6 linked regions of the Rattus norvegicus genome follow. The protein of the gene in region 1 interacts with the protein of each later gene in a biochemical or structural test. Links are inferred from orthologs where the notes say so. Each region holds a gene or a part of one and is shown in the gene's direction. Other genes may lie near its edges. The genes, in order: Lrp1, Apbb1, Lpl, Plat, Thbs1 and Apoe.

Region 1 (4,340 bases):
CAAAGACAGGCTTCAGCCTTCTCACTCAAAATTCCTAGGGCTTTCTCCACCATGGCTGACAGGAAGTTCTTTTACTTATCTCTCTCCAATCCTTCTGCTATCCTGGCTTTCCTGAGAGACCTGCAACCTGCCCTCTCCTCCATCCACCCTGTGCCCCTGGGTCTGAGGAGATGGTGCAGGACAGGGTCTGAGCCCTCCTCTTCCTTTCTGGGAGGGAGGGAGCCCATCCCCCACTGCCCTCCACAAGAGCACATCTGGTTTGTGAATCTCTCATTTCAGCTTTTGGAGTTTGCCAGCTGCTGTTTCCTCTGTCGAATTCAGGCCAAAAATGGGGGTGGGGGACAGTGGGGGAACCATGTGAGAGCCAGAGGAGGGGACCCACGGCTGGGGCTCAGAAGACAGAGGAGGTCAGAGTGTCCAGCCAGTGACCTCAGGCCCTGGCTGTGGGTTCTGCCCCTGGCGAGTGGGGGGGCATGGGCTCAGCCCCCAGGTGGGAAGGGGAAGATGTGTCATCAGCCTGGGTGTCTCAGGGGTCCGATTCTGAGCTCCAAACACCCCATCTGTCTCTGAGAGCTGCTGCAGTCCCTCTCTCCCCCTCAGGCCGCCTGGCTGGCCAGGGGAAGTGGTGGTCTCCAGCATGCTAACTAGGCTGGCGGGCTGTTTCCCGGGAAGACCTCACAGCTGGCCCAGTGGGGCAATGAACTCAGCATTATCCACCTCCTCAAGGGGCCTTTATTCCCGGATCAGGGCAGGGGGGAGAAGGGAGGGAGGGGGGACTCCAAGGGGGCCTGGCCAGGCCATCCTTGATGTGTTTCCTGAACTCAGCTCTGGTTCTGGCCAGGGGCCTGGGTACAGTCCCCTCCGCCAGAGCTGGGGATGAGGGAGAGAGGACATTTCGTGTGGCCATCCAACTTCCTCCTTCAGAGCCCTGACACAGTTCTCTTACTCTCCTGTCTCAGCCCTCCGTTAGTACTATGTAGTTTCCCCCAGGAACTGTGGGTCCCGAGGGGTCCATGACCTTTGGACACATCTTGGTTCCTAGTTCAGTGCCTGGCACAGAGCTGGCCTTCAGTATGTGTCAGAGAAACAGAAATGGGCGCTACCGGGTGGGAGAAAAGGTGATGAGAAACCAGGAGAGGAGACTCCTGCCCTGATGTGGATGAAAGACCCCTGTCCCGTGCAGGACATGGTGACTGGAACAGATGGGTTAGGGGTATGGCTGCCAGGTGAGGGCTGTACTCCTTAAAGACCTAGAGCCCTGGTGCCAAAGAGATGGCTCAGTGGTTAAGACTCACTGCTTGCTTTTCCAGAGTACCTGAGTTCAATTCCCACCATTTCAAAGGCATCTTGCACCTTTTCTAAATCTACTTCCAGGGGACCCAGTGCTTCTGTGCCCTCCTCAGACACCAGGCAAATGTGCTACACAGACAGCCATGCAGGCAAAACACCCATACACATAAAATAAAACTTGAAAAAGAAAAAAGGAAACAAAGCAACAACAATAGAAACCTAGATTTGGGTGAACTGGGTTGAGTCCTGGTTTGTCACTTGCCAGGTGTGTGATCCTCAGCAGGTCTAGCCCAGAAACTGTGGGTTAGCCTTCCCTCTTCTCATCTTGTGGGAAAGACTAAATAAGACAGCACATGGAAAAAGCTAGTTTATCACTGTCTGCTACACTCATGCTGATCACAGTACTGCCCGCTGTCTCTGGTGGAGCTCCTCATGAGGGTAGGAGGGGGGATGAGAGGGATTAGAGCCAGGTGGTTCCCATGGATATAAATCACTCCACAGGTGAGGGGTACCACAGTTAGTTTCTAGAGATCAAGCCAACCAGCACCCTGCCTCTGCTGGTAATGAGCTTTAGGTCCTTCTTATCCAGAGAACTCCCCTAAAAGTCCTACTTGTGGTCTTGTGTCTTGTGGAAGCTGAAGTTTCTGCCCAGGTGTCCTCTGCAGATAACATCTCCAAGCCACACTGTGGGCCAAGGGGTCCAGCGGTAAGAGGTAGGAGCTGGGTGATATAGATCAAGAGGTCAGTAGCATCCTGAGGTCAGAGGTTAAGAAAGGCCAGCTGGACGGGATTAAGAAGAGACAGAGAAAGAGCACAGTGAAGGTCTCTGCCCTGTCCCACCATCATCCCTAGCAGAGTGAGGGGTGCTGGTGTCTGGTGGGGTGACAAACAGCAAGGAGCTACAGGGGCCTGCTGAACAGACAACCTAGGAAACTTGGAAAGGGATGATAAGGTCCTTTTGGCTCCTCCATTGTTCCAGGTCCACAGTATGGAGGATTGATGCTGGAGGAGAACGAGCCTTAGGAAGCTCCAGGGTCCAAGAGAGAGTTCCCTCCTTTACAGTTACCCTTTCTTTCCTTGCCTTCAGCCCCTAAAACTTGCAGCCCTAAGCAGTTTGCCTGCAGAGACCAAATCACCTGTATCTCGAAGGGCTGGCGGTGTGACGGGGAAAGAGATTGTCCGGACGGCTCTGATGAAGCCCCCGAGATCTGTGAGTATCTTCCCTGGCTGCTCTCTCCAGATGAGAGCAGCCGTCTCTAGCCTAGCATGGGGCTTGCTCTGTACTTGTACCTAGGACACAGCTAAAAGTATCCCTGCTTCTTCAGAGTACCCACACAGTCCCTGGCATGCGTAACAGCAGCACCCTGGATTTCTCCTTTGGCTCCCATGTCCCCAAGGCTGTTGGGGACAGTATCCTCTGGGATGCACCTTTGTCATGAGGAGATAACTGAGCCACACTTTTCTTTGAGCATTTTCTTCTTCCCCACTTTGAAACTTCTCTGGCTGGTGCTCAATGAGTGGCCTTCAGGTCTTGCCAGGTACCCTGCTACCCTTAGTCCCAGGCCAAAGGCCATTGGCCTTACTCAGTCCCTGTACCAGAAGCCCCACCCCTGTACCCTTCCTGACACCCTGCCCTCGCCTGCCCCCAATAAGTGGTGTAATCAGAGGCAGCTGTTTAAACTGGGAGAAAGGTCCCCACCCAGCCTTCACCCTGCCAGTGGCCAGGATGGGGAGGGGTTTATGGGGTGGAGGACTTGCTGCCAGGACTCTAGAGTACTGGGGTCTCCACCCCCAGTATCTTCCATACATGGCCAATCCTGGCCAAGGTCTTAGCATGCTCTGGACTTCATCTGGCTCTGGTCCTATCTGTACCCTTTCCCCATACTTCCAACCATGGTCATCAAAGGTTGAAGGTGAAGGGTGGAAATGAAGCCACCTGTTTTCTTCCTCACCCCTGCATCCTGCCTGGAGGAGTAGACACTACTTCCTCTCCACGTGTTTGACCCTTGCCTGTGTGGCGGAAGGACAGAAAGCCACAGAGAAGGGCTGGGTCACACTCTTGTTCATCCTTCTTTCAGTTTGATACAAATCCCATCTCAGATAGTTCCCCACATGTGTGTTCACACACATGCGTTCTCCTGGAGCATAGCAGATAACACATAGCCCCACCTGGCCCACCCACCAGACAAAGACGCCGACAGGTTTGTATAACCCATGCAGATGCTATACACTCCCAGGAGTGGCTGCAGAAACACTCTGACAGATGCCTGAACACACAGACTGGCAGGGGTACATATAAATCCAGGCAGGGTCACAAGATGTTATGGGAACTTCTTGCCCACGAGCCACTCCCTGCACGAGCAGTGCCTGTCAGGCTCTGCCCCCATACACACCCTCTCATATACCCTTACCTGTTGGGATCATTGTCTTAACCTCTCATCCCTCCAGCCAGCAACCGTGACAATTAAGAGGGATGTGGTTAGTAGGCCACAGCTTTTGACATCTCCAGATCCTTTCGTTAGATCTTTGCTCTGGGTTGCAAGTCTAGAATAATACTGTATTGAAATAAGGTATAAGTCACATACACAGTTCTGAAATTTCCAAGTAGCCACGCTGGGGGGAAAAAAAAAAAGCAAACTGCTAAGGTTAGTTTGAATGCTTTCACCGAAGGCGCTCAAAATATTGTTTTCACTATATGAATATTCTGTGGATGAAACTATTAGAGATCTTTTGCCCTCTTCTGATGGATCAAAAAACTAGTATATATTTATAAGTGGTTTTAATTTGGTGCACTCACAGCGTTGGAGAGCTGCAGAAGGCTGGTGCTGGTGCATGAACTGGCTCTCTTGTAGACACAGCTCTGCGCTCTGAAACCCACACAAAGTTAGTGTGTTATTGTTTATCATTGGAGCTCCTTTCTGCCAGGGACTGTGTTTCCTTAAACCCAGCAAAACCTTTCACTTCTGCCTTCTGCCTGTCTCCTGATTAGAGAATGTTGAGGCTGGGGGCTCCATTAGGGAGTAGGCCCTAGCCTAACACCTCTTGAGATC
Region 2 (4,340 bases), on another chromosome or scaffold:
GTGTGTGCATGGTATATATGAGTGAGTGAGTGAGTGTGTGTGTGTGTGTGTGTGTGTGTGTGTGTGTGTGTGTGTATGTGTGTGTGTGCGCGCGCGCGCGCACGCGCGCTATCTGCACAGACATAGCAGAGGTTGATAATACATTGTATCTGAGTGTTTCCCCACCTGTATGTGCATGTGGTACTCACATGTATGTTGGGAGGTTTTGGTAATGCTGTATGTACACACCTGTTAGCAGGGCTGGCATCTATAGCTATATATAAACACATAGCTCTACACAAGTGTATAACTGGTGTTGTTATGTCTGTTTGCCCCTGAACTCACAAGCATACCTGTATGTGGTGCCTTCCAGAATTTTCTGTGCGCTGTGCACAGTTTATGGCTGTGCAGGTGTGTGGTGGGGCTTACATATATTGTGGGTCTGTGTGCATGTGGATGTGTGCAGAAGCCGGCAGTGTGTGCACCTTTTATAACTAGACAAAATGTCTATGCATGATGTGTGAGGAGGTGATCTGGGTCATTCGGCCTCCTTCTTTCCTCCTCCTTCCTCTCCGCTTTCTTCTTTCTCTCCATGTGGCCACATTAGGCAGCAGCAGGGCTAGCAGCAGAGGAGACCTGAGCCATGCTCCCCACTGGTGGCTCTCAATGTGGTGACTAAAGTGTCCGGCTCTAGAAGCAAGCAGGAATTATAATGTCCCTTTCCCAGCTTCTTCTTCTCAGCCTTGGGGTCTTGGGAAGGGGACTGGCCCTCTACTGGATGATTATTGGGTAGGCTGACCCTCACTGAGCCTCCTACCTGGCAGATTCCTTCTGGAACCCCAACGCTTTCGAGACGGATTCCGATCTACCGGCTGGATGGATGAGGGTCCAAGACACCTCAGGGACCTACTACTGGCACATCCCAACAGGGACCACCCAGTGGGAACCCCCAGGCCGGGCCTCCCCATCGCAGGGGAACAGTCCCCAAGAAGAGTCCCAGGTAAGGCTCAATGGCTTGTTGCACACCAGGGGTGGAAGGGTCTGTGCTTCTAGAACAGGGTGAAACTACCACCCTACACCCATTCTTCCTCCAGCTCACCTGGACTGGCTTTGCTCACCAAGAAGGCTTTGAGGAAGGAGAGTTTTGGAAGGTAAATAAAGAAACCAGCTTCACTCTGGGGGCTACTGGAGAGGGGGACTTCATTTTGGGCTTGATTCTTTAATTTGTTTTCAAAGGATGAACCTAGTGAAGAGGCCCCAATGGAGTTGGGACTGAAGGACCCTGAGGAGGGGACATTGCCCTTCTCAGCTCAGAGCCTCAGGTGAGTCAGATGCAGCAGACTAGGGTGAGACTGGATCTATGTGGAAGGGGTATTGGGAGGATTCTTAAAACTAAGGGTGCTGTGTCAAGTGTTCCCATCTGCCTCCAGCCCAGAGCCAGTGCCCCAGGAGGAGGAGAATCTGCCCCAACGGAACGCCAATCCAGGGATCAAGGTTTGTTCAAGACCAACACCCATTTAGTAAGCAGGCCTCTATGTGGAGGACAGACCTCATGCTGTGCTTTGAGGACATCTGTGGTCTTAGCAAATCTCCCAAGCAAGTTCTTACCAGTTTCAGGCAAGGCCGTGTGTATGCTGAACAGTCTTCTGACAGCTTCTGTGTTTAACTCAGTTGGCCCAAGGGCCTCTTAGGGACTCTTAAGGCTTAGATCAGCAGGCCATCTCTTCTGACCATGTCTTGTTTGGGGACCTTCCATCTAAGTTCAGAATGTCTCACATGTTTTATGTGCCAGGTCAGGAGCTCCTCTGTCCTGTGCCCAAGGCACCTCCAATTCCATCTCAGATCTCTACCCCGACCCTTTTCTGTGTCTGGCAGTGTTTCGCTGTGCGCTCCCTAGGCTGGGTAGAGATGACTGAGGAGGAGCTGGCCCCAGGACGCAGCAGTGTGGCAGTCAACAATTGTATCCGCCAGCTCTCCTACCACAAAAACAATCTACATGATCCGATGTCTGGAGGCTGGGGAGAGGTGAGGGCCTGAGCTGGTGAAGTGGTGGTACCGTGGGGGTGTGCAGCGAATTGTGAGATACGAAGGATTTGACTAGTCTCCGAGAGGGCTGATGGACATGGGGGTATATATGGGTTTAAGGAGCAACTCTGAGGGATGGATGTGTAACTCCAGCCTTGCACCCTGAGGAGTGGTTGCTTAACAGTGATGGGGATAAGAGTCCTGGGACAACCTTTGTTAGACTAAGGCCCACAGGTGGGCAGTCTGACAGCTAAGTAAGCCCTGCTCCTCCCCAATGGTGGCCAATGTCCCCTTTGCTGGAGAAGGCAGAACTCTGCCCCCCTCCCCCACTAGGGTACCACTGAGTCCCACCTCCTGGGTTTGCAGGGAAAGGATCTGCTGCTCCAGCTGGAGGATGAGACGCTAAAGTTGGTGGAGCCACAGAACCAGACACTGCTGCATGCCCAGCCCATCGTCAGCATTCGCGTGTGGGGCGTTGGGCGGGACAGTGGAAGGTGGGCACAGGAATCGCCGGGGTGGGGGAGGCTCATCCATCCAGCAGTTAGTCCTTTTTCTAATCTGCTCTTTGGCTCTCTTGTGCTGCCGGACCCAGAGAGAGGTATTAACGTCCATCTGCTTTGACTGTGCCCCTTCCTACTCCTGGACCGGATGCTTCGAAGCACCTAGGCTCCCTTACTGTGTGCCCTGCCCCTTCCTCACCTGCTGTCCTGGGCCTTATCCCCCACCTCAGCATGCTTGCCTCTGGCCTCCCCAGCTCCTGAAGGCAGACCTACGGAACACCAGGGCAAACCCTGTAGACTGTCATGGACAGGGAGGTTGAGGGTGGAATGGTGGCCAGGCATGGCATTTGGTGGTTCTAGGAGACACTGAGGTGACCCTCCCCCAACAGGGACTTTGCCTACGTAGCTCGAGATAAGCTGACCCAGATGCTCAAGTGCCACGTGTTTCGCTGTGAGGCACCTGCCAAGAACATCGCCACCAGCCTGCATGAGATCTGCTCCAAGGCACGGCCCCCTCCACTCCCTGAACTAGCTGTCATCTTTGCTCTAGAAGGGTGTGGGTAGGGTTGCCGGTTGGTGGGTAGTGAGGTGGGGGCTTCGGGGCCAATGTAGCTCTAACAGAGCACACACACCCCCCATTCATTCCTCAGATCATGTCTGAACGGCGCAATGCTCGCTGCTTGGTAAATGGACTCTCCCTGGACCACTCTAAACTTGTGGATGTCCCTTTCCAAGGTGAGTACCACACGCAGCCTCATAAGGCACAGCTCAGCTTTGTTAGTTAAGGTGAGGTGACCCAAGAAGAGGCACAGGATCCTGGGCAGGCATGAGCACATGGAGATGGGTGCTTGACAGTACATAAGTGGATAAGCTTGTAGAGGGAGGCAGGGGAGAAGTGGGCGTGAGGGTTGGACTAGGAAAATGCATAGTTCATGCTTTAGTGTCAGGACCTAGAACAGTGACCCTCTTTTTCTTTTTCTTCTCACAGTGGAATTCCCAGCACCAAAGAATGAACTGGTGCAGAAGTTTCAAGTCTATTACCTAGGGAACGTGCCTGTGGCTAAACCCGTTGGTATGTGTCCTCTTCCCTCAGGGGCCACCCCCTTGGTCCTGGTACTCTGTGCCCCGCCCTGTGTTTTCTATGGTTCATTCTCCTGGATTTTCTCGTTACGTGGCATCTCCTTGCCTTTCAGAGTTCATCCCACCTACCTTTGTGCCAGCCTTGTCTTGTGTCCTGCCTGTTACTCCAGTGAGCATGTTTCAGTGAACATCTAGCACAGGACTAGTGCTGAGCTAGACACGGAGGGTGACTTTCTTCCCCTAGCCCTGATCCCATGGAAGAGCTTTGCTGGGTTTAGGAGGCAGGTGTTTGGATGGCTGGAAATACCAGGCATTAGCCTGGCGCTGGGTTCAGTACAGGAGCCATACATATCCAGAGAAGGAAGCCGTAAGCATAATTAACATAGCTTTAATTTTATAAAAATATAGAGTTTTTTAAAATATACTATTTAATTTCACAGCACCCGCCTTCCTTCCTTCCTTTCTTTCTTTCTTTTTTTCTCTCTCTCTCTCTCTTTCTTTCTTCCTTCCTTTCTTCCTTCCTTCCTTCCTTTCTTTCTTTCTTTCTTTCTTTCTTTCTTTCTTTCTTTCTTTCTTTCTTTCTTTCTTTCTTTAACAATTACCTTTGAAACCTGTTGTGTCAGGCCCTGTATTGGGAAACAATGGCCACAGCCTGGTTTTCATGGAGTTTATGGGAACTTACAGTAGAATAATCAGGACCCAGTCAAATAAATGTCATAATAAGTTAAGGTCTCTGTGGAAAGGAAGCAGCAAGAT
Region 3 (5,080 bases), on another chromosome or scaffold:
GGGTTCACATGTAGCAGCAACAAGCCATAGATATGTATGTATCTCCCTAGGATTGTTTAACCGGAGAGTCATTTTTAAAATGCATTGTATCAGATGTCCATCTGACCCTTTATTAATCCCATAAAATATTAGAGTTCTCTGAAAGTTACAGGTAGCAGTGCAGGTCGGTTTGGAATCCGACTAAATGACTTTTATGTTTGAAACAAGGCTGTGTGGCTACACTGGATAAAACACTTAAGTATTTCTGCACTCCTGGTTTTATGTCTTTTATGCCACTGTCACGTTTTAAAATCAGACAGAGCTTCCTATATACGTCTCTTGGAGGTCGGCCACATCCTAACTATACGCCCTGGAGAATCTCTGCCATTTCCAAAGTCGTTCAGTGGGGCTTTGCTCTTGCCAGCTTTCAAGGTTGGCCACATGCTTCGGAGCCAGTAATGAATGTGAACGATGCCCTGTTTAAGGATCACAAATGCAAGTTGAGAAGGTGAGACATCGGGCTGGAATTCATCTACAGAACAGCATGTGTGGCTTTTATCTGATAGTTGTGAGAAATTTAAAAGGTGGGCTTATATTAAACTATATAGTTTTTGATCCCCTTAACCTGTGTGTGTGTGTGTGTGTGTGTGTGTGTGTGTGTGTGTGTGAAGAGGAGACCATATTAAAAATACTGAGATCAGTAAAGAGAACTGATTTTTTGAGACGGCTTCTCAGCATTAAGGTGGGGAATTTAATCTTTATGGTTTTCTCTAGCTAATCAACACCTTCTTCATTTAAAAAGATACTTGCAGATGAGCACAGTATACGATGTGATTTTATTTTTCTTGCTTTTCTACAAACATGTGCTAATCCACTTTGCAAAAGCTCAGTCTCAACCCTGGCAGAGCACAATTTAATATTAAAGCATCTACACAGTCATACAATGACAAGCCTAGTGGAATTCGGGATATTTCCATCAAGATCCTCACCCTGCCCCCACACTCCCAGCGCCCCATATCCCCCTCACCCTGGAACATCGCTAATCTATGTACTGTCTTTGTAAGTTTGGATTGGTAATTTGGCATGCCTTCTCCCACTGAAAGTCCAGGATAGTTTACAATATTTGACCATGACTTTCTGCCTCTGAAAATAGATGTTATTCTTGAGTTTCTTACTGAATTAGAGGATCGAGTACAATTTACATAAGGTAAAAATTAGAATTATTAACTAATTTCCTTTCTTCTACCACAGAAGGAGATCCATATTGCCAACGATAAAAGGCAGACCGTGCAGGCACCAGGCGCTGAGCAATATGTGTCCTAAGGTCCCTTTGGCCCGTGGGGACCTGTATGTGTGTGTGTGGCGGGGGTACGTTTGAAAGGATCTTTCAAGTTTAACAAAGATTTATCAAAAGGGAGGGGGTGAAAGTGTTGGACACACGCGCTGTTTAAGAGCAAAACTTCTTCCCCTCAGAAAACTGATCGTAGACTACTTAACATAAATCAGCGTAAACCCCTCCTCCCGGCCTCTACAGGGGTCCCTGGGGAGCAGGTTCCTCTGGATAGGCAAACTGGAGCCTAAACGACAAGCAAGCTTTCCCTCCTGCCCTTTCCCCTTCTTCTCGCTGGCACCGTTGAGCCTCGTTACAGTGTGCTCAAATATTTGGAAGTGAATTTAGAGTCCTCCCCCCAACTTATGATTTTATAGCCAATAGGTGATGAGGCTTATTTGCATATTTCCAGTCACTTAAACAGCTGTGCAGTGGAAACGGTGTCAGACTCGATTCCTCCTCCTCCAAGAAATTCTGCCCCTTGTAGCTGTTCTGCCCTCCCCTTTAAAGGTTGACTTGCCCCGCGGCGCTCCACCGCGCTCTAGTCCTCTGACGCCTCCGGCTCAACCCTTTGCAACGCGGATCCCCGCCCGCCTGACTGCCCGCGCAGCGCAGTTCCAGCAGCAAAGCAGAAGGGCGCGCCCGGAGATGGAGAGCAAAGCCCTGCTCCTGGTGGCCCTGGGAGTTTGGCTCCAGAGTTTGACCGCCTTCCGCGGAGGGGTGGCCGCAGCAGACGGTATGTTTTTCGCGCCAGCTCCCCTCCACCTGCAGACCGGGACCAGACCACTTTTTCTCCATCTGAAGATGGGAGGGAGAAAGTTGGAAAGGACGTGCACTAAGCAGGCGCAATAGCCAAAGAGATTCCCGGGAAGGGTGGCTGGAGTGGAATCCAGGAGGAGGAAGGAGAGACTCTGCCTCCCATCACGCTGTGGCGACTCCGGGTTCCCGCTTCTTCTTCTTCTTTCTTTCTTTCTTTATTTTTTTCATTCTCCCGATTTCCCGCTCCGTCCCCAGCTCTCTCCCGCCGCCGGCCATCACAGGGAACGGCGGGGGCGGGGGTGTGACGCGTGGGATGGGGGTGGGGGCGCAGAGGTGGAGAGAAGCTGTAGTGATCGGTGGTAACCTCCTCATAGGCAGTGGGGCTGCTGAATGCAAGGCATGTGGGCCAAGGTGACCCTAACTTTGCTGGGACTACGGGTCAGACCCCTCTGTAGGCGGGAAGAGTGAACCGAGTGTGCCCCCATCGCGGGTGCGGGTGGGAGGACGCGTTGTGTGCATTCCAACTGCATAGGGCACTGTCGCTCTCGGCTATGGGCTACTGTGAGAGTGGGAATGCGCGGCGGTGCCGGGGAACGCATGGCACGGAGTCCTGGGAAACCGCGTCCTGTAAGCGTTCCTTGCGCTCGCTCGGCTTAGCTTGGTATTCAGGAAAGCCCAGCAAAGAGCCTATCTTCCAGAAAACGAGGCTCAGCCATCAGCAGACTGGAACCTGTGGCTTGGAGGTTGCCAGTTCAGCACTGTGTCCTATCCTTGCTGTCCTAGGAGAGGCTCGCCCTAGCTGAGAGCACATGGGATTTTCTAGAGCAGTTAGCAGTTAGCAGTTAGGAGGTCGCTTTCACCATTATGGTCCCAAAATCGGTCATCTCCACGGCTCTGCCTGCTCTCTGCCTAGAGAAGACGACTAGGGTCGGTAGCAAGTTACTTTATGGCCTTGAAGTCCAGACCTGCCCACAATTGAGAAGCCTTGTTACTTGAACCTTGATTGAGCTAACAGAACACAGACACAAAAAAATGACTGAACTCAGCCATAAAAGGAGGCTGGAGTTTCCTTGTGTTGCTGCTGGTGGACTCGCCACCAGGGTGGTGTCCCCTGGAGGTGCTCTAAGGTGGCACGTCCGCAGCCTAATTCCAGTTTTAGTGGAGTCTATGAGTGCAGCTGAAAGCTAGCTTTTATTTCTGCGTATAGTTGTAAATGTCTTGTTATCAAAGGCGAGAGAATCGGTCATGGCAGAACTGCACTAAAGTAAGAATCTCGGGTGTTTTGAGGACACTGGGGATTCTGTCTCTGCTGTGGCAAGCTATCTTTCTACATAGTTTGCAACTCTGGTTAAGAAAATAGGAGCAAACGCTCAATTCATATTTCAGAAACTACACCACAGTATAACACGACTTTTACCGTAAACTCCCGTGGAAAAGGTCGTCTCCATTTTCAGGTTTTGCTTCCTTCAGAAGCTCTGGACCCAGCTTTTCAGCTGCTTAGTGTCACCCTTCTGGGTTTAGCCGCATGAGCTCTTAGGAAAGTTGGCAAGACTCAAAGTGCCCTGGGGCCCCTCCCTTATAGTTTGGTTTAAAGGGACACCTAAGTAATTACATAATAATCTTGGATTTTAGCCAACACCTGATTTTCCTATCAATAAAATGTATTGGAGGAATATTATTCCTAAGCAGATGTGGAATGATTTCCTCTTATCGACGTTCTGTTCTCTCTACTAGCACTTTCCTTCTTCTACAACAGCAGGCCAAGCCCTTTGTCCCACAAATGAATTCACCTAGGGTGAGACTGTGAAAGGCACAGCTTGGAGTGAACCCAGCTCCCCTCTAGGCTCCCAGTTTCCTTGTTCACTCTTGATGTTTTTCTTTTTTTTCCACGAAGAGTGTATGAGTTTGGGAGACATTGCCCTGGGCTTCTTCCTGGAGCCCCTGCAGCCTTTCCTGGCCCCAGGCAGGAAAGCAGAGAGCTAAGAGAGGGAGCATAGAGGGTCCGGCTGCATGAAGTCCTGTTCAGCCACAGTGCTCACTTGCAGGCTAATATCAGAGTTAAATACCTGGAAAAGAGCTCGACATGGGAGTGATTGATTAATAACGGCATTGAAAGGTGTGGGGGACAAGCGGGGGAAGAATCTCGGTGGAAAGATGTTCCGTGTGTTTGACAGAGTGTATTTTTAACACAGCTTCCCTTTAGCCCACAGCGTTATAGAGCGGGCTGTTATACTCAGCTGACAGCTTCTGTCTGTCAGATGGTCCAGTCCGGTCATTGTCCCCTTTCCTCTGGGCACAGCCTGTTTCCACATTGTCATCACCAAGGCTGCATTGTGATGTGTGTGTGTGTGTGTGTGTGTGTGTTATCTGAGACGGTAGCTGAGTTCCTCTGAGTCTTCAGACACTCGGTGCTCCTTCCCTGATGGCGTTCATCCCGTCTTCAGTGTCACCTGTTACTTCAGTGCTGCTACTTTTCTGACAGCAGAACAGTCCCCTCTATCTAACCCCACCCTCTCTGTGGTGATTTGACTAAGCCTAATTTCATCTCTGTGACTATTTTCCATATCAGGATATTTTTCTTTTCTTTGTTCTACATTACATTTGAGCTGTCTTTTTGGATATGTAGGAATAAAGGTTACACAGTAAAGGAAACTCATTACTGTCTGATTTACCTACATAAACACATCACCCCAGTGTGTGATGAGGGCCCGCCTGGGTGGTAGCAGTTGTAAGGGTATTATTTCTATACAGAATTGAAGCCTTTGAAAGGATACGCCTCTGCTCCTCTCCTTCCTTCTGATCTCCCTCACTTCCTTGGTCCTCTCTTCCTTTTCCTTCTTCCCTCCCTCTTGTTCTCACCCCTTCCTTTTTTCCAACGTGGTCTTAATTTTCCTAGGAAAATAGCAAAAGGCAGCCTAGCTGGATGAAAGCCGAGTCACTGATACATTTCTTGGTTTCCTTAGCAACAGTCACCTCGGATTAATCAAGCTCACCTGACACTGCAGTAGTTAA
Region 4 (4,956 bases), on another chromosome or scaffold:
TCCCTTTAAAAGGAGGGACTCTTGGTCTGTACACAGCACACCTGTCTCCTGGTTAAGGACGTCTTTGCCAGCTTCTTGCCCACCTCTCTTTCCTTGGGCTATCCTTGGAATCACATCACTTCTTATTAGGTTTTTGAACTCATCCTGGTCTTTGTCCTGTGCCTCATCAGCTGTCCACTGCCCCAACAAAGGGTTCACTAAACCCCCTCTCTACTGCCACAGGTGACACACTCTACAGAGAGGACTCCCCCATTGCAGAAGCTAGCCTTAGGGACTCTTTCTTCCACACTCCTTTTTTTTTTTTTTTTTTTTTTTTTTGGTTTTTTTTTTTCCGGAGCTGGGGACCGAACCCAGGGCCTTGTGCTTCCTAGGTAAGCGCTCTACCACTGAGCTAAATCCCCAGCCCCCACACTCCTTTTTCTTACCCTTCTGTCCCCAAGTTATCAGACTTGGAATTTATCACTCTTGGGAGCAAAGGGCTTCTAGTCAAGTTTCCCAGGATGTGATGTCACCGAGATTTATTTTCATTTGCTCGCCCCCATGGCAATCCTTTGACTAAAATCAAAGTTCCCATTGTTATGGTATCTGCTTCCCATGTGTATTTCTGGCTTTCCAGGCTCCGCCAGAGTCTGACGGGGGAAACAGACTCACAGGTGGCAAAAAAATGAAAAAGCTGGGGTTTCTGAGGATGACAGGTTTTGTGTGCATTTAGCAACGCTCAGGGTGCCTGTAATTGCTGAGACAGAGCACTAGTTCAGCCCCTTTGATGTGCAGACATCTGCAGAGGAAGACTAAACTGGGATTTGGAGCGACCTGGTGTCCCGGGGGCTGTGGAGGCTTCCGTAGGTTGTGACAGGATGTGGGCCACTAGAAGGGCAGTTTTCAGGAGCTTTCCTTGTCCACCCTTGACGTGAGGAAGCTTAGAGAAAGGATGGCTTGTGATGGAATTTCAGGGGGCTGAAAGACTTGCGCGGTGTTGTGCTTTTTCTCAATTCCCTGAGAGCTCTCCCACTGAGAAGAGTAGCTCCTCAGCCCAGGAGGGCAGGTCAGAGGTAGGAAGAGAACCATAGCCTGGTGGTCATGTGCTTACTGTCTCCAGTCACTCCCAACCAGCTCATCTTCTGCCTCTTGGCCTAAGGCCCACGTGTCCTGAGGGGTAGTCGCTTAAAATTCCAGAAGACCTCTCCCCTCCCTAGCCTAGTTGGGCGGGGCTGTTTAGAACTATAACCTCATGGTCAAGACTGGAGCTTAGAGCCGCACATCCTTACAGTTCCTTTTAGGCCTTTGAGACCAGGATTTTAAAACTGGATGATTCTTAAGTCCCCTCCAACTCTGAAAATTCCTGTGATTCGATGACGTCAGTACGGTGAATAATCAAGCTGGCGTCAAGCCAAGAGTGGCTGTGCTCCTCCGCGCGCACTTCCTCCCCTGGCCCGGTCCACCCGGCACCCACCATCATAGGAGAAACCCCGCCCACAAGAACCTCTGGCCCCACCCCTCCTTCACCCTTAAAATTGGCTTGAGCTGTCCAGGGAGACAGAGCCTGCGGGGGAGCTAATCAGGAGAAGCCCCTGCGAGAGTGGGAAAGAAGCAAGCAAGGCACGGTAAGTTGGGTTTTTGCCTTTATCGAACAGCCGGCTCTTCTTCTGTCCCTTTAAAGTCTTCGGGGCCAAACTGAGGCAGTGAGGGAATGCTTAATGGAAGCGCAGACTTGTAGTTCAGCAGAAAGCGGACCAGCCAGCATCATCCACACAGAAGGGACAGTTCTTTGCAATGACTCCGGGTAAGCTGCGGTGAGAGGGAGAGAGTGGGAGAGAGGTGTCTCTTGCAGAAGTTCTGCTTGCACAGTAAGGGGAGAAAGTAAAAAGAACGACTCCGGTTCTTCGAACGGACAATGGGAGCCTACTAACGGGCAGTAACTAGATCCAGCTGCCTTCCAGAGCGGAGACATCGTATGGCTACCTTCTGACCTCAAGGGACACACTAAAAAACAGGCTGGGTATCAAGGAGGGGCGTTTGCGTGGGCAGCATGTTTCGCTAGGCTGGCAGAGAAAAGCTGAAACTTTTAGGAACCTCTCGTTACTGCTGGGGGTTAGGATGCAAAACCTCTGGTGTCTCGCGAGTTCATCGCATCCTCTCTACGATTTACCAGTCAATTTCACCCCTCGCTCATCACACACGGCTGCGTTTGCTTTCTCATGCTGCAGCAGGAAAAGTCTAAGGGCTCTCTGGAGTCTGTCAGGACCTTTATTTTCTTAACCTCGGAGACAGCGGGAGGATAGATGGAGGCTGGGTGAGTGGTGGGGGTGGGGGTGGAAGGAAAGCATGCAGCGCTCGCAGATAACTAAGGGCAAGCTTCAGTGCAAAGAGATGCAGTGGGGAAGCTTTACTTGGTGGCCGGTTTGGAACGATGCATTGTTCTTCCGCAGCTGATAATGGGGCAGGGGCATACACAAAAAGTGAGTGTGTGGTGGTGGTGGGTATTTTCAATCCTGTGAGCACGTCACAAATACAACTGGAGTAAACTTACAGAAAAACACACTTAGAAATTTTCCAGGAGACCCAGACCCTGTGCAGGGCAGTGGCAGGCTGAGTGCGCACAGCCAGTGAGAGTTAAATCACAGTCAGTCCCAGACCAGATACTGGAAACACTAAAGTGTAAATCGTCCCTCTGCCCACCCTGTTCTTTCCACCTAAAGTGTTTTCAGGAGAGCCAGCCTGTATCTTGGAAGGGGAGTACTAGCTGCACACCCCCAGACGAGCTGGATTAGGGCAGACTTTCCAGGACAGCCCAGATTATTTGGGAAGTCTCCTGTGAGATATACAGCAGCTGGTCTGCCTCCTCCCAGATCCAGGATGCACGATGCAGCCAGGAGGAACCGAGGAGCATCCATGCTTCCGCTAAGGCGCTGGGGACTGAAGGAAGAGCGAGCTGCACACATTAAGACGCTCACTGAGCAGGGTGCTCAGCCAAGGCCAGAAAGTGACTCAGAGTTGCCTGCAGGGTTCTTGGACTGGAAAGACTGGTGTGAGGGTTTGAAGGTGAAACGCATGTGTATGTGCTTGTTTCCAGTCTTAATGGTGGAGGCTACATCAACACGGCTTATCAACAACAGTACTGGGCTTAACGCCATTCACAATGTAAGGTTCGCCGGTCCCTGAGACAGCCGGTCTCTGTGAGTGGGAGCCTTTTGCGGTCTGAGCTGAAGTAGTGCAATCTGTGCACGGCAACTGAGTGTCTATTGTCTCAGAATAGTTTTTTTTGTTTCTTTTCTTTTCTCTTGAGTGGCAGAAAATAATGTAGGAAACAACTAAACGAGGGAGCAAAGGGCAGCTTTGAGCCTGCCGTGTAATAAATAGGTCAGAGCTGGAATTGGGGTTGCAGCTTAGTTGGCAGTGTTAAAGGAGCTCGCAGAGAGCCTTTCCACCTGATTCCCAGCACCACATAAACTTAGGGTTGACAGTGAACACCTGTGATCCCCAGTGCTCAGGAGATGCGGGCAAGGAGATCAGAAACTCAAGGCTAGCCTGGGGTAAGTGAGATCTTGTTTTAGAAAGGAGGGAAGAAGGGAGGGAGGGAGGGAGGGAAGGAGAAAATTACAGGTAGAGATTCACAAAACCTTGGTCGAGCACCATCATCTTGAATATTGGCCCAACTGCTTTCACGATGCCTGGGAGACAAACTGTTATAGCTAGGAGTACAAGGTGAGATAAACTCGATTCCTGGTTACTGGAAAAAGCAAATGAAGCAGATTGCTGGTCATGTATCACAAATTTCTCTGGCGTGTTTGAAGGCACAGCCCAGGAGAGCTGTGTCAGCTGTCCAGGAAACACAAACCAGCTGTTCTTCATGCAATACATAAAGAACTGGGTGTCTTCAGAGGCGCTTGCCAAGCCGTTGGCCAACATCCTGTAACTGACAGGTCTAGCTGAGCTATATAGACTGGCTGTTGGGTGCTCCAGACGCACAGCAGAGAGAGGTCTCTAGAGTTTTCTTTGGGGATTGCCCTAAAGACCTGGGTCCATGCTGAGCCTCTGAAATGATCACTGCAGACTTAGGCTGGTCCCACACATTGTAGACTTTTCTACTGAAAGCCTATTCTGTGGAAGCAAATATCTTGTTAGCGTCAACCTTAAGGACCATGGAAGTGGCTAAATGTGTCAACTGCTAATTCCAAATTCCCAGAGCGTTTCAGAGGCCCTGTTGTGGGGCATAAATTGGCCTGGAAAAGGCAAAGAAGAGAAACAGATTAAAACTTTTTTTAAAAAGATTTTTTTTTAACATTTATTTATTTACTATGTATACATCATACAGCTTTCTGCCTGCATGTATGTCTGCAGGCCAGAAGAGGGCACCAGACCCGATTACAGATGGTTATGTGAGCCACCAGGTGGTTGCTGGGAATTGAACTCAGGACCTCTGGAAGAGCAGACAGTGCTCTTAACCTCTGAGCCATCTCTCCAGCCCCTGAGAAACAGATTAAAAATGGGATACAAGATCTCACTCTGCTCTCAGGAAATAAGTGCTCCTGTCCATGGGGCTCTCTGACCCTGGTGAAGAGCATGGCATTTTCTATCATGTCCTGTGAGCTAGGAAAAAGGATTTGCCAATAACCCTTGAAGACCATGAGGACCCCACCCCCACCCCAGAGAGCGTGGTACCTCTTCTTTATCAGTAGCTTCAAACAAACTTGATTCCTGTTGACGAGGGCATTCTTGTGAAGCCTAGTGCACACCTGCCACCCGTCAGGCTTCCAGGGTTTGTAAGGATTGCTTCTTTAGCTTTCAAAAAAATACACAAGATGGAAGGGATTAATTCATGGGGAAGCCCAGGAAACTAAGGCTCAGAGAGGCACTGAGACCACCCAGACCTGTAAGTGGCTATTGGGGGGTCCAAGTTGAGAGTTCAAGGGTCACGTTCCTAGCATTAAGAAACGCCAGCTCTCTTCGAAGCAG
Region 5 (4,340 bases), on another chromosome or scaffold:
TGAGGTTTGTCTTTGGAACCACCCCAGAAGACATTCTCAGGAACAAAGGCTGCTCCAGTTGTGAGTACTCCTGTGTTTTTAAGATTTGGAGAATTCTGGGGAATTCCACCAAAAGCACCCTGAGAAATGTAAGCAGTAGGGTGGATGCACATCTCAGGGGAACAGAGTTGGCGCCCACTCTGTCATCACAAATGAAATGTCTTTTACAACCCATAACCTGAAGGGTGGGCGGGTGAGATAAGCTGTGGAAGCCTTGAATGACTGTTGAATATTTTATACCTCATTTCTTAGCAGCTACCAACGTCCTTCTCACCCTTGACAACAACGTGGTGAACGGTTCCAGCCCTGCCATCCGCACCAACTACATCGGCCACAAAACAAAGGACCTCCAAGCCATCTGTGGCCTCTCCTGTGACGAACTATCCAGCATGGTCCTGGAACTGAGGGGCCTGCGTACCATCGTGACCACGCTACAGGACAGCATTCGAAAAGTGGTCAGTGGCCTCTGCTCCCATTTGCCGGCTCCTGAAGGTCACCACAGGTGACCATGGGAGTCTGGACGCTCATGAGCGTTTTCCCTTTCAGACGGAAGAGAACAGAGAGCTGGCTAGCGAGCTGAGGCGGCCTCCCCTCTGCTTCCACAATGGAGTCCAATACAGGAACAACGAGGAGTGGACTGTAGATAGTTGCACAGAGTGTCACTGCCAGGTAAGGGACACTCACAGACTACAATAAGACTTGACACCATATGTCTCAGTAGATATTTTTAAATGTGCTCTGGCCTGCTACCAAAAATGATTTTTTTCTTTCATATGTAATGACGTCTACACATTCCTCTTTAAATCTCAGAAGGTTTATCAACTTGTAATTATACCCCAGGCTAAGCAGCTAAGAGAGCAAATCTATCTAACCACTGGAATTATTTACCTGCTTTAGTTCAAAGACCAAGTATTGGATGTCAGATACACAAAACCTGCTTACAGCATTCTTTTTTGAACAGCCCTAATTTGTATTCGGCTCTGGCAGGCAGATCCTTCTAACACTGTTCGGATCTCTGCATCACCAGGAAAAGTTTAAATGCAAATCCCTGATTACTGAATTTAAGACACAACTTCCATTAAGTTCCTATTTTCCTCCAATATGTGATAAGACCTTATCTACATTTGAGATACTCACTGATATGGCCTGCAGCCTGTTGCTTTTCCTTATATCTGTAACTTCCACCCCTGACTGAGTAGCAGTTAAAAAGAACTTTCCCAGAGAATGGAGAATTAGCCCTGGAACTATGTGACTCTAGGGACTATAGATCCAGCAGACATCTGTCCTATAAAAACCATCCTGCCTATACCTCAGCTTATAATGGAAATGCCACAGAAAGCTCCTCTTAGCAATATGCTTGGTAACATGTTTCCCTCTCCTCCTGCCTTGCAGAACTCAGTTACCATCTGCAAAAAGGTGTCCTGTCCCATCATGCCCTGCTCCAATGCCACAGTTCCTGATGGTGAATGCTGCCCACGGTGCTGGCGTAAGTTCCTAAAATGGTAGAACCATACCTCAGTGGCTAGCTCAGTGGGGGCATCCTGACAGCTGGGCACAACACTGGAGCCCAGCCCCTCGCAGGTCGTTCAGGCATATCCTGTCAGATAATTGCAGACAGACTTGGGTAACTATCAGCTTGTCTATTGTACAGAGTGCAAACCTCCATGAGGACCAGATCTTAACCACCCATCTGGATTGTAGCATAGGCAGTGGATGATCTTGGCAGAGCTCATGGACTCTGGTTTTATGCTATAAGGAGGGGAGATGAATACAGCACTGGACTTAAGCTGGTTGCTTTCAGGAATTGATCTTTTTGTTAGAAAAAACATGATCTACTGGAGAAGGGACAGAAACTGGTGTAAGCATTGGGCTGTTTGAAAAGTCACCTGTTTTGTGTGCAGTGATAGGAGCCCTAAGAGATTTGTATCTATTGAATTTCCAGGGTAGTAAAGGAAATCAGCCACTACACTGCTGTGTAACGCTCTGCCTCCAGGGCTTGTTGCCAGCATAAGCACTTTGCTAAGATGTTTTAATACAGAAGGCACAAGTCATAAAAGTGACTCATCATGCCTCACGAAGAAAGCAAGGATGTTGAATTGCCCTTCAGAGAGAGAGAGAGAGAGAGAGAGAGAGGGAGGGAGGGAGGGAGGGAGGGAGGGAGGGAGAGAGAGAGAGAGAGAGAGAGAGAGAGAGAGAGAGAGAGAGGACAGAGACAGAGAAATAGAGAGACGCACATATGAGCCACACACAGCTCAGAGTTATCAATCCCATGGTAGCAATTTTGGCACAGTAATGTTTTTCTGTGTGTCCACTTCTGTCCAGCCTCTATCTGAGGGTGAGTTACAGGGAGCAAAGCCCACGGAGAATAGCACAACTCTGAGCTGGGGTTGTTAGGAAGATGTTTATTGATGGAAAAAACAAGTTCCCTGTCGTCTGATAGACAGGAGTGGTTGTCATCATGGTGTCTGAGCAGATAGCAAACAAATACCCTCTCCTCTTGAGAAAGTACAAAAACACCAGAGGTCAGCATGAGGAAAACAAACTGATCCACCTCACGGCCTCAGCCACACTGCCTCCCAACATAGACCAGGGCTTCTCTGATAGTCAGAAATGATACAGGCCAGCTGTCTGACACACTGGCATTCTTGGACACTGGCCTGGAAGCATCTAAGACATCCTCAGTCAGCAAAGGAGAATCTGCTTAAGACGCACATGGGAGACTCCATGATGGGTGAACAGGAGAGTCCACACTGTAAGCGGGTTCAGCTGTAAGGACCAGGCAGAGCCTGCCATCACCCCCAGACCTTTACGATGACCTGGGATGAACTCATGGCCCACTGGCCCAAGACTGGCATGTCTGGAGTTAATGATATGACTGCATGCTTGCTCCTGCAAAATAAGGGATGTGTGAATTGGCTCCACTATTGTTTTCACTTCCCAAGGCACTTGTGTAGCCAAGCATCTGCTGTGTACTAAAATATACACAGTCACTATTAGTTAATGGTCCTTCCATTAAACTGGGAGTATGGAAAAAGAAGGATTTTTTTTTTTTTGGTTCTTTTTTTCGGAGCTGGGGACCGAACCCAGGAAGAAGGATTTTTTAAAAAGAGACCTATTAGGTTGGGGATTTAGCTCAGTGGTAGAGCACTTGCCTAGCAAGTGCAAGGCCCTGGGTTCGGTCCCCAGCTCCGAAAAAAAAAAGTCCTATTGATTTGCAACCTTTGCCAATAAAGGTCCCTAAACACATACATAAACTGCCTGAAGAGAAGTGGATCTTAGTCAGGAGATGCTGAATGGCCTCCTTTCTCCCCACAGCCAGTGACTCTGCTGACGATGGCTGGTCTCCCTGGTCTGAGTGGACCTCTTGCTCTGCCACCTGTGGCAATGGGATTCAGCAACGTGGTCGCTCCTGTGACAGCCTCAACAACAGATGTGAGGGCTCTTCAGTACAGACGAGGACCTGCCACATTCAGGAGTGCGACAAAAGATGTAAGCATCATGGCCGCCAAGGGGTGGCAATGTCACCCCAATGCTTTGTCACCAAGAGCAGCTCTACAGCAGAGAGCCTGAGGGCCCAGGTTCTGAGCTCTCAGTCTCAACCACACCCCTGACCTCTGCACTCTTGAGCACAACCTTCCTTCCCAGATGCTCCTCCTCATCGATAACATGAGAATAATAACCATTCTTGATAAAAGTTATTTTAGGCATTTCCTCAAGATAATTCATATGAAACAATTAGAATAGAGCTGGGCTCCTGACCAGCAACTCTCTCTTACACACACACACACACACACACACACACACACACACACACACACACACACACCATTTTTCCTATGATAGTTTCTCCGTTGACATGTGGCAATAGCCAGTTGCTACTATACACTGTATACTATACACTAGTTTAAGTTGCTGTTGGTCAGCTGTGAGAACGATTGCGTGTTGAGATTTTCTTCGTGGTCCCCCTCCAAGGCAGCACCATTTGTGACCGTCAGCTTTGCCTTTCAGTTAAACAGGATGGTGGTTGGAGTCACTGGTCCCCGTGGTCGTCCTGTTCTGTGACCTGTGGTGACGGTGTGATCACGAGGATCCGACTCTGCAACTCCCCCAGCCCCCAGATGAACGGGAAGCCCTGTGAAGGTGAAGCTCGGGAGACCAAAGCCTGCAAGAAGGACGCCTGCCCAAGTAAGTGTGGGCCTGCCCTGTGGGTTCATGGGAGGCAGCCCTACCCAGCTGGTGGCCTGCTTGCTCTGCGGTTCAGTGGACCATGGGGCATGGGAGCTCACTCACTAGAGAAACAA
Region 6 (5,077 bases), on another chromosome or scaffold:
TCTCCCAGTGGGAAGGTCAGAGGTCTCAGAAACTTCAGGAAGAAACCAAGTTCCTGGAAGTTCAGCACAATAAAGAAAGTAACTGAGGGGGGAGGAAGGGGCCCTAGGACCTTCCCAGACTAAAACAGGAAACGTGAAGGTTTTGGGGATTTTTTTTTTTTTTTTTTGGTTCTTTTAATTTTGTTGAAGATATAACTCCAGCCCTCACGTATCAGGCAGGTGCTGGGTCACTAAAGTGCTTTTCCGTGGAGCTGCATTCCAGCCCCAGCTCTGATGTGTGTGTGGTCACATCTTCAAATTGGGCCTGCATGCCACCACTGCTCCTCCTGGCACCCCACTGGAGGAGAAGACTCAAGATGAACTGGTCAATGACCCTCTAGACCGCAACACTGAAACCCTTTTTACTGCCATCTGGAGATGGAAGCTGGCCCTTAGTAACCCATGAAAATCATCTCACCACACCCACTCCTTGTCAGTGTTTTAAGCCAAAACTAACAGGCCTGGGCCCGGCACCCTGTACCCTTGGAACCAGGTGTTCCACCTCTTCCCATCCTGCGGAGTCATGTGTTGCCATATCTGCTGCCAAGCCTTGTTAGGAGGCTTCTCCTACTGCCACCCTCTGAGCAACAGCTGGGAATGGGAACCCCTGTGCAGGCGGCACTTCAGCAAGCATCCGAGTGGTGTGTGAGCCCTTGGCCCTACCTGACAGCCCGGTAACAGCAGCCTTGCCATGTGCTAGCCTGGGCTCTGTTCTATTACCTGAGCTCAGGGGATCCTCCTGCCTCAGCTCTGCAAGTGACTAGGACTAGAGGCACATGTCCCCATAAATAGCTGTTCTTCTGGCTTGTCTCTTAAGTGTGTTGGGTGTTTTGCCGGCATGTATGTCCCTGTAGGGCTGTCAAATCTGGGTGTTGAGTTGCGAATGCTGTGATTTAAATCTGGGTCCTGTGGAAATGCAGTCAGTGCTCTTAACCTCTGAGCCATCTCTCCAGCCCCTACACTTCTTTCATGAAGAAAAGGAAAAGTGCTTGGAAAAGGCAAATGCATGTGCCGAGGGGCACACCTGCAACCCCAGCATGCCACAGCAGAGGCAAAAGGACCTTTGTGACTTTAAGGGCAGCCCGAGGATCCGATCGCAAAACAACTTGAAAGTTGTGCTCAGTAGGGGTGGGGATAGCTCCCCCTCCCAAGATTATACATCCGGCAACCGCCAGAAACAGGACAGTAGCATCAACACTTGGGTTCCCAGGGCTTGACAATGTATGGCTTCAAATCCATTGGGAGCCACCACTGAACAGCTCCTGAAGGAAAGGAGCATGTCCCCAGCCCGGGGATGGGGAGAGTTCACCCGTGGCAGAGGAATCAACAAAGAGGGGCCAGGGCTAAAACTCAGTTTTCATCCCAGAAGCTGAGCCTCTTAACAGATAGAGCCCCCCACCTATTTCCATTTAAGCCTCCAGCCCTTTTCCGTACAACGAATGCACCAGACCCCGCGGGAAAGGGGAGAAGCAGTACTCAGTGCCCCAGCACCAAGGCCTGGATTATTCAATGAGGAGTCAGCTCCTTTTTGGGGGGGGGGGGGGGTCACAAGGCATCAAAACTCCACCTCTTTCCTCTGCCCTGCTGTGAAGGGGGGGGGGGAGAGCAACCCGCCTCGTGACAGGGGGTTGGCCCAGCCCGCCCTAGCCCTGAGGAGGGGGCGGGGCAGGGGGAGTCCTATAATTGGACAGGTCTGGGATCCGGTCCCCTGCTCAGACCCCGGAGGCTAAGGAGTTGTTTCGGAAGGAGCTGGTAAGACAAGCTTGGGCTGGCGATTCACCCAGGGGGCTTGGTAAGACGTGGGCAGGGGACCTTGAAATCCGCTGGAGTCCAGGAAACAGGCACAATTATTAGAAAAGCAGGAAGCCCGATAGAAGACTTAGGGTGGCGGGGAGACAAACTAAGATCGTGAGGTAACTAGCCTTTGCCGGGGTCAGAACAGATGGAGGAGATGGAGGGGTCATCTCCAGGAGTATGGGACTGTCGGTGCACTGCATACGGGCTCAACTAGAAGGTAGTATCAATCTTTAGCGAAAGGACCCGCGATGAGCCTTAGGTTGCGTTTATATAAATACCTACTGATTTCCATCACAGTCCCCAAAATTACCCTGGGCCAGTTTCAAAGCGAAGATCCTCATGCCTGAGCGTCCGAAGTTCTGGGGTCGCGGGAGGGTACCACTTCGCAGGGATGGAGGACGATTAAAAACTTACATTAGTACTAAACCGAGAGCCCGGCTTAGCAGGGAAGGTAGAAAGGAATGTAAATTGGACCACCGGCTGTCCCTCTGCGTTGTGGAATTTGAACCCTAGGACTGGGAGCTGGAATTTTTGGCAGCGGGTCCACCCCGGGGTGCTGAGATAGAGATAGGAGGGGGAGGTAAATAGACCTTTGGGCAGATGCTCTATTGTGGAGATGTTTGTGATGACTCACAGACCTGAGAAGGGAATTAAGGTGGGGGCTCTTTGGGTGGCCCGAGTTTCTCCACCCCTACCCACTGGTGTTCAAAGACAGCTTTTCCTTCCGCAGACTGGCCAATCACAACTGGGAAGATGAAGGCTCTGTGGGCCCTGCTGTTGGTCCCATTGCTGACAGGTATGGGGCAAGGGGTGGCTTTCCCTGCTGGCAGGTTGGGGTTGGGGCAGTTCTGAGACCTCTGAGATTCAATAGCCCTGAGCAGCTGTTTTACATGCAGGCCTTGTCTTTCCCTATCCATAATATGAGAGGATTGATGCTCAGAGGGTAAAGGTGCTTGTCATAAAGCTCGAAGACTTATCTCGGAGCCCAACATGGTGGAAGGAGAGAGCGGATTCTCTCTAGTTGTCCTCTGACCTCCAAGGGTACACACACAGACACACAATTAAAAAGTTGAAGTGTGTAATTTCTTAGTCGCTTTTAAAGGGGAGGTATACATTTTCTAACCCCATACCAGCCTAGTCTCAGCTCTGTTCTACATAGGATACTAGACAGTGTATGCTTGTAGTATCTAAACAGACTCCACGACTGACTTCCAGACGCACTGTTGCTTCAAAGAGACCCAAGAGCACTGTAGGTCCTGACCCAGCCTTAAACTTACTACTCTACACAGGATGCCTGGCCGAGGGAGAGCTGGAGGTGACAGATCAGCTCCCAGGGCAAAGCGACCAACCCTGGGAGCAGGCCCTGAACCGCTTCTGGGATTACCTGCGCTGGGTGCAGACGCTTTCTGACCAGGTCCAGGAAGAGCTGCAGAGCTCCCAAGTCACACAGGAACTGACGTGAGTGCTCAGCGCTTCACCCTCCGCACCTGCTGAGTATCCAGATCCAGGGGTTCCTCCTATCTGGGCACCTACCTACTTGTTTCCTTTCTCCATGAGTGTGTGGGCCAGGTTGGCCTTGAACTCTCAATACTTCTGCTTTCTTTAGCCTTCTGGATACTGGGATGAACAGGCATTCATTTATGTTCTTGGTCGAATGGCTTTTGGCTTTTTGAGACAGGATCCCAATCTAACTTAAGCTGGCTTCGAAGGCTCTGCAATTCTCCTTCCTCAGCTTCTCAACTTCTGGGAATACAAGCGAGTACCACCGCACCTCGCTCTGTGGTTTCCTCCCACCCTAATTCTGACCTTTTTGTCTCTGCATTCATCTCCCTCTTGTGTTTCCTCTGGGCCTGCAGGGTACTGATGGAGGACACTATGACGGAAGTAAAGGCATACAAAAAGGAGCTGGAGGAACAGCTGGGCCCAGTGGCGGAGGAGACACGGGCCAGGCTGGCTAAAGAGGTGCAGGCGGCACAGGCCCGTCTGGGAGCTGACATGGAGGATCTACGCAACCGACTCGGGCAGTACCGCAACGAGGTAAACACCATGCTGGGCCAGAGCACAGAGGAGCTGCGGTCGCGCCTCTCCACACACCTGCGCAAGATGCGCAAGCGCCTGATGCGGGATGCGGATGATCTGCAGAAGCGCCTGGCGGTGTACAAGGCCGGGGCACAGGAGGGCGCCGAGCGCGGTGTGAGTGCTATCCGTGAGCGCCTGGGGCCACTGGTGGAGCAGGGTCGTCAGCGCACAGCCAACCTAGGCGCTGGCGCCGCCCAGCCCCTGCGCGATCGCGCCCAGGCTTTGAGTGACCGCATCCGAGGGCGGCTGGAGGAAGTGGGCAACCAGGCCCGAGACCGCCTAGAGGAGGTGCGTGAGCAGATGGAGGAGGTGCGCTCCAAGATGGAGGAGCAGACCCAGCAGATACGCCTGCAGGCCGAGATCTTCCAGGCCCGCATCAAGGGCTGGTTCGAGCCGCTAGTGGAAGACATGCAGCGCCAGTGGGCAAACCTAATGGAGAAGATACAGGCCTCTGTGGCTACCAACTCCATTGCCTCCACCACAGTGCCCCTGGAGAATCAATGATCATCCCTCACCTACGCCCTGCCGCAACATCCATGACCAGCCAGGTGGCCCTGTCCCAAGCACCACTCTGGCCCTCTGGTGGCCCTTGCTTAATAAAGATTCTCCAAGCACGTTCTGAGTCTCTGTGAGTGATTCCACACAGCTTCAGCCTCAGTTTATCGTTTCTGCCTGACATAGCACACATTCCATGGCCATGTCTGTAGAAGGAGGTCATGTGCTTTATTTCAAGTCTAGTTTGGTCTGCTCTGCTTTGGTTTTGCAGTAATAGAGATAAAACCTAGGAGCTAGCAACGCCAAAGGACAAGTGCTCTACCTCTGAGCCCCGCCCGCAACCCTTCACCGGGCGATTCTACCTTCCACTGAGCCACGCCCCCAGTCCTTCACTGGGGGGATTCTAGGGAGGGGCTCTACCACTGAACCACGCCTCTAGATCTCACTGGGGGGATTCTAGTAGGGGTTCTATCACCGAGCCACGCCCGCACCCATCACTTGGGGATTGTATCTAGCACTGAGCCACACCTCCAACCTCTCAATGGGGAATTCTACCATGAGCCACGCCCCCAGCCCCCTCGATGGGGGAATTCGAGTCCAGCGCCTACCACTGAGCCACGCCCACACCCTTGGGGCGGGGTGGGGGGAGGGCGATTCTAGGCAGGGG

Evidence for each region.
Region 2: the proteins of Lrp1 (region 1) and Apbb1 form a complex in vitro, tested with the Homo sapiens proteins (2 studies listed by BioGRID and IntAct, with this or other methods). The link is inferred for Rattus norvegicus from reciprocal best matches to the Homo sapiens genes LRP1 and APBB1.
Region 3: the proteins of Lrp1 (region 1) and Lpl form a complex in vitro, tested with the Homo sapiens proteins (3 studies listed by BioGRID). The link is inferred for Rattus norvegicus from reciprocal best matches to the Homo sapiens genes LRP1 and LPL.
Region 4: the proteins of Lrp1 (region 1) and Plat form a complex in vitro, tested with the Homo sapiens proteins (2 studies listed by BioGRID). The link is inferred for Rattus norvegicus from reciprocal best matches to the Homo sapiens genes LRP1 and PLAT.
Region 5: the proteins of Lrp1 (region 1) and Thbs1 form a complex in vitro, tested with the Homo sapiens proteins (3 studies listed by BioGRID). The link is inferred for Rattus norvegicus from reciprocal best matches to the Homo sapiens genes LRP1 and THBS1.
Region 6: the proteins of Lrp1 (region 1) and Apoe form a complex in vitro, tested with the Homo sapiens proteins (2 studies listed by IntAct, with this or other methods). The link is inferred for Rattus norvegicus from reciprocal best matches to the Homo sapiens genes LRP1 and APOE.

What each region holds. Positions count from the first base shown.
Region 1 is NC_086025.1:65,335,953-65,340,292, reverse strand, and holds part of Lrp1 (prolow-density lipoprotein receptor-related protein 1 precursor), read left to right. Parts: intron 1-1,644; exon of another isoform or gene 1,645-2,377; coding exon 2,378-2,500; exon of another isoform or gene 2,501-4,157; intron 4,158-4,340. UniProt on the Homo sapiens protein: Endocytic receptor involved in endocytosis and in phagocytosis of apoptotic cells. Required for early embryonic development. Involved in cellular lipid homeostasis.
Region 2 is NC_086019.1:169,314,741-169,319,080, reverse strand, and holds part of Apbb1 (amyloid beta precursor protein binding family B member 1), read left to right. Parts: intron 1-803; coding exon 804-979; intron 980-1,073; coding exon 1,074-1,130; intron 1,131-1,215; coding exon 1,216-1,301; intron 1,302-1,409; coding exon 1,410-1,473; intron 1,474-1,854; coding exon 1,855-2,004; intron 2,005-2,370; coding exon 2,371-2,498; intron 2,499-2,596; coding exon 2,597-2,602; intron 2,603-2,893; coding exon 2,894-3,008; intron 3,009-3,154; coding exon 3,155-3,239; intron 3,240-3,492; coding exon 3,493-3,576; intron 3,577-4,340. UniProt on the Homo sapiens protein: Transcription coregulator that can have both coactivator and corepressor functions. Adapter protein that forms a transcriptionally active complex with the gamma-secretase-derived amyloid precursor protein (APP) intracellular domain.
Region 3 is NC_086034.1:25,617,290-25,622,369, reverse strand, and holds the start of Lpl (lipoprotein lipase precursor), read left to right. Parts: upstream 1-1,768; 5' UTR 1,769-1,957; coding exon 1,958-2,045; intron 2,046-5,080. UniProt on the Homo sapiens protein: Key enzyme in triglyceride metabolism.
Region 4 is NC_086034.1:75,964,239-75,969,194, reverse strand, and holds the start of Plat (tissue-type plasminogen activator precursor), read left to right. Parts: upstream 1-1,538; 5' UTR 1,539-1,604; intron 1,605-1,681; exon of another isoform or gene 1,682-1,697; coding exon of another isoform or gene 1,698-1,783; intron 1,784-4,956. UniProt on the Homo sapiens protein: Converts the abundant, but inactive, zymogen plasminogen to plasmin by hydrolyzing a single Arg-Val bond in plasminogen.
Region 5 is NC_086021.1:125,512,685-125,517,024, forward strand, and holds part of Thbs1 (thrombospondin-1 isoform 2 precursor), read left to right. Parts: coding exon 1-60; intron 61-291; coding exon 292-494; intron 495-585; coding exon 586-708; intron 709-1,431; coding exon 1,432-1,525; intron 1,526-3,354; coding exon 3,355-3,528; intron 3,529-4,047; coding exon 4,048-4,224; intron 4,225-4,340. UniProt on the Homo sapiens protein: Adhesive glycoprotein that mediates cell-to-cell and cell-to-matrix interactions.
Region 6 is NC_086019.1:88,481,341-88,486,417, reverse strand, and holds Apoe (apolipoprotein E precursor), read left to right. Parts: upstream 1-1,718; 5' UTR 1,719-1,791; exon of another isoform or gene 1,792-1,831; intron 1,832-1,897; exon of another isoform or gene 1,898-1,952; intron 1,953-2,547; exon of another isoform or gene 2,548-2,566; 5' UTR 2,567-2,589; coding exon 2,590-2,632; intron 2,633-3,125; coding exon 3,126-3,294; intron 3,295-3,692; coding exon 3,693-4,419; 3' UTR 4,420-4,529; downstream 4,530-5,077. UniProt on the Homo sapiens protein: APOE is an apolipoprotein, a protein associating with lipid particles, that mainly functions in lipoprotein-mediated lipid transport between organs via the plasma and interstitial fluids.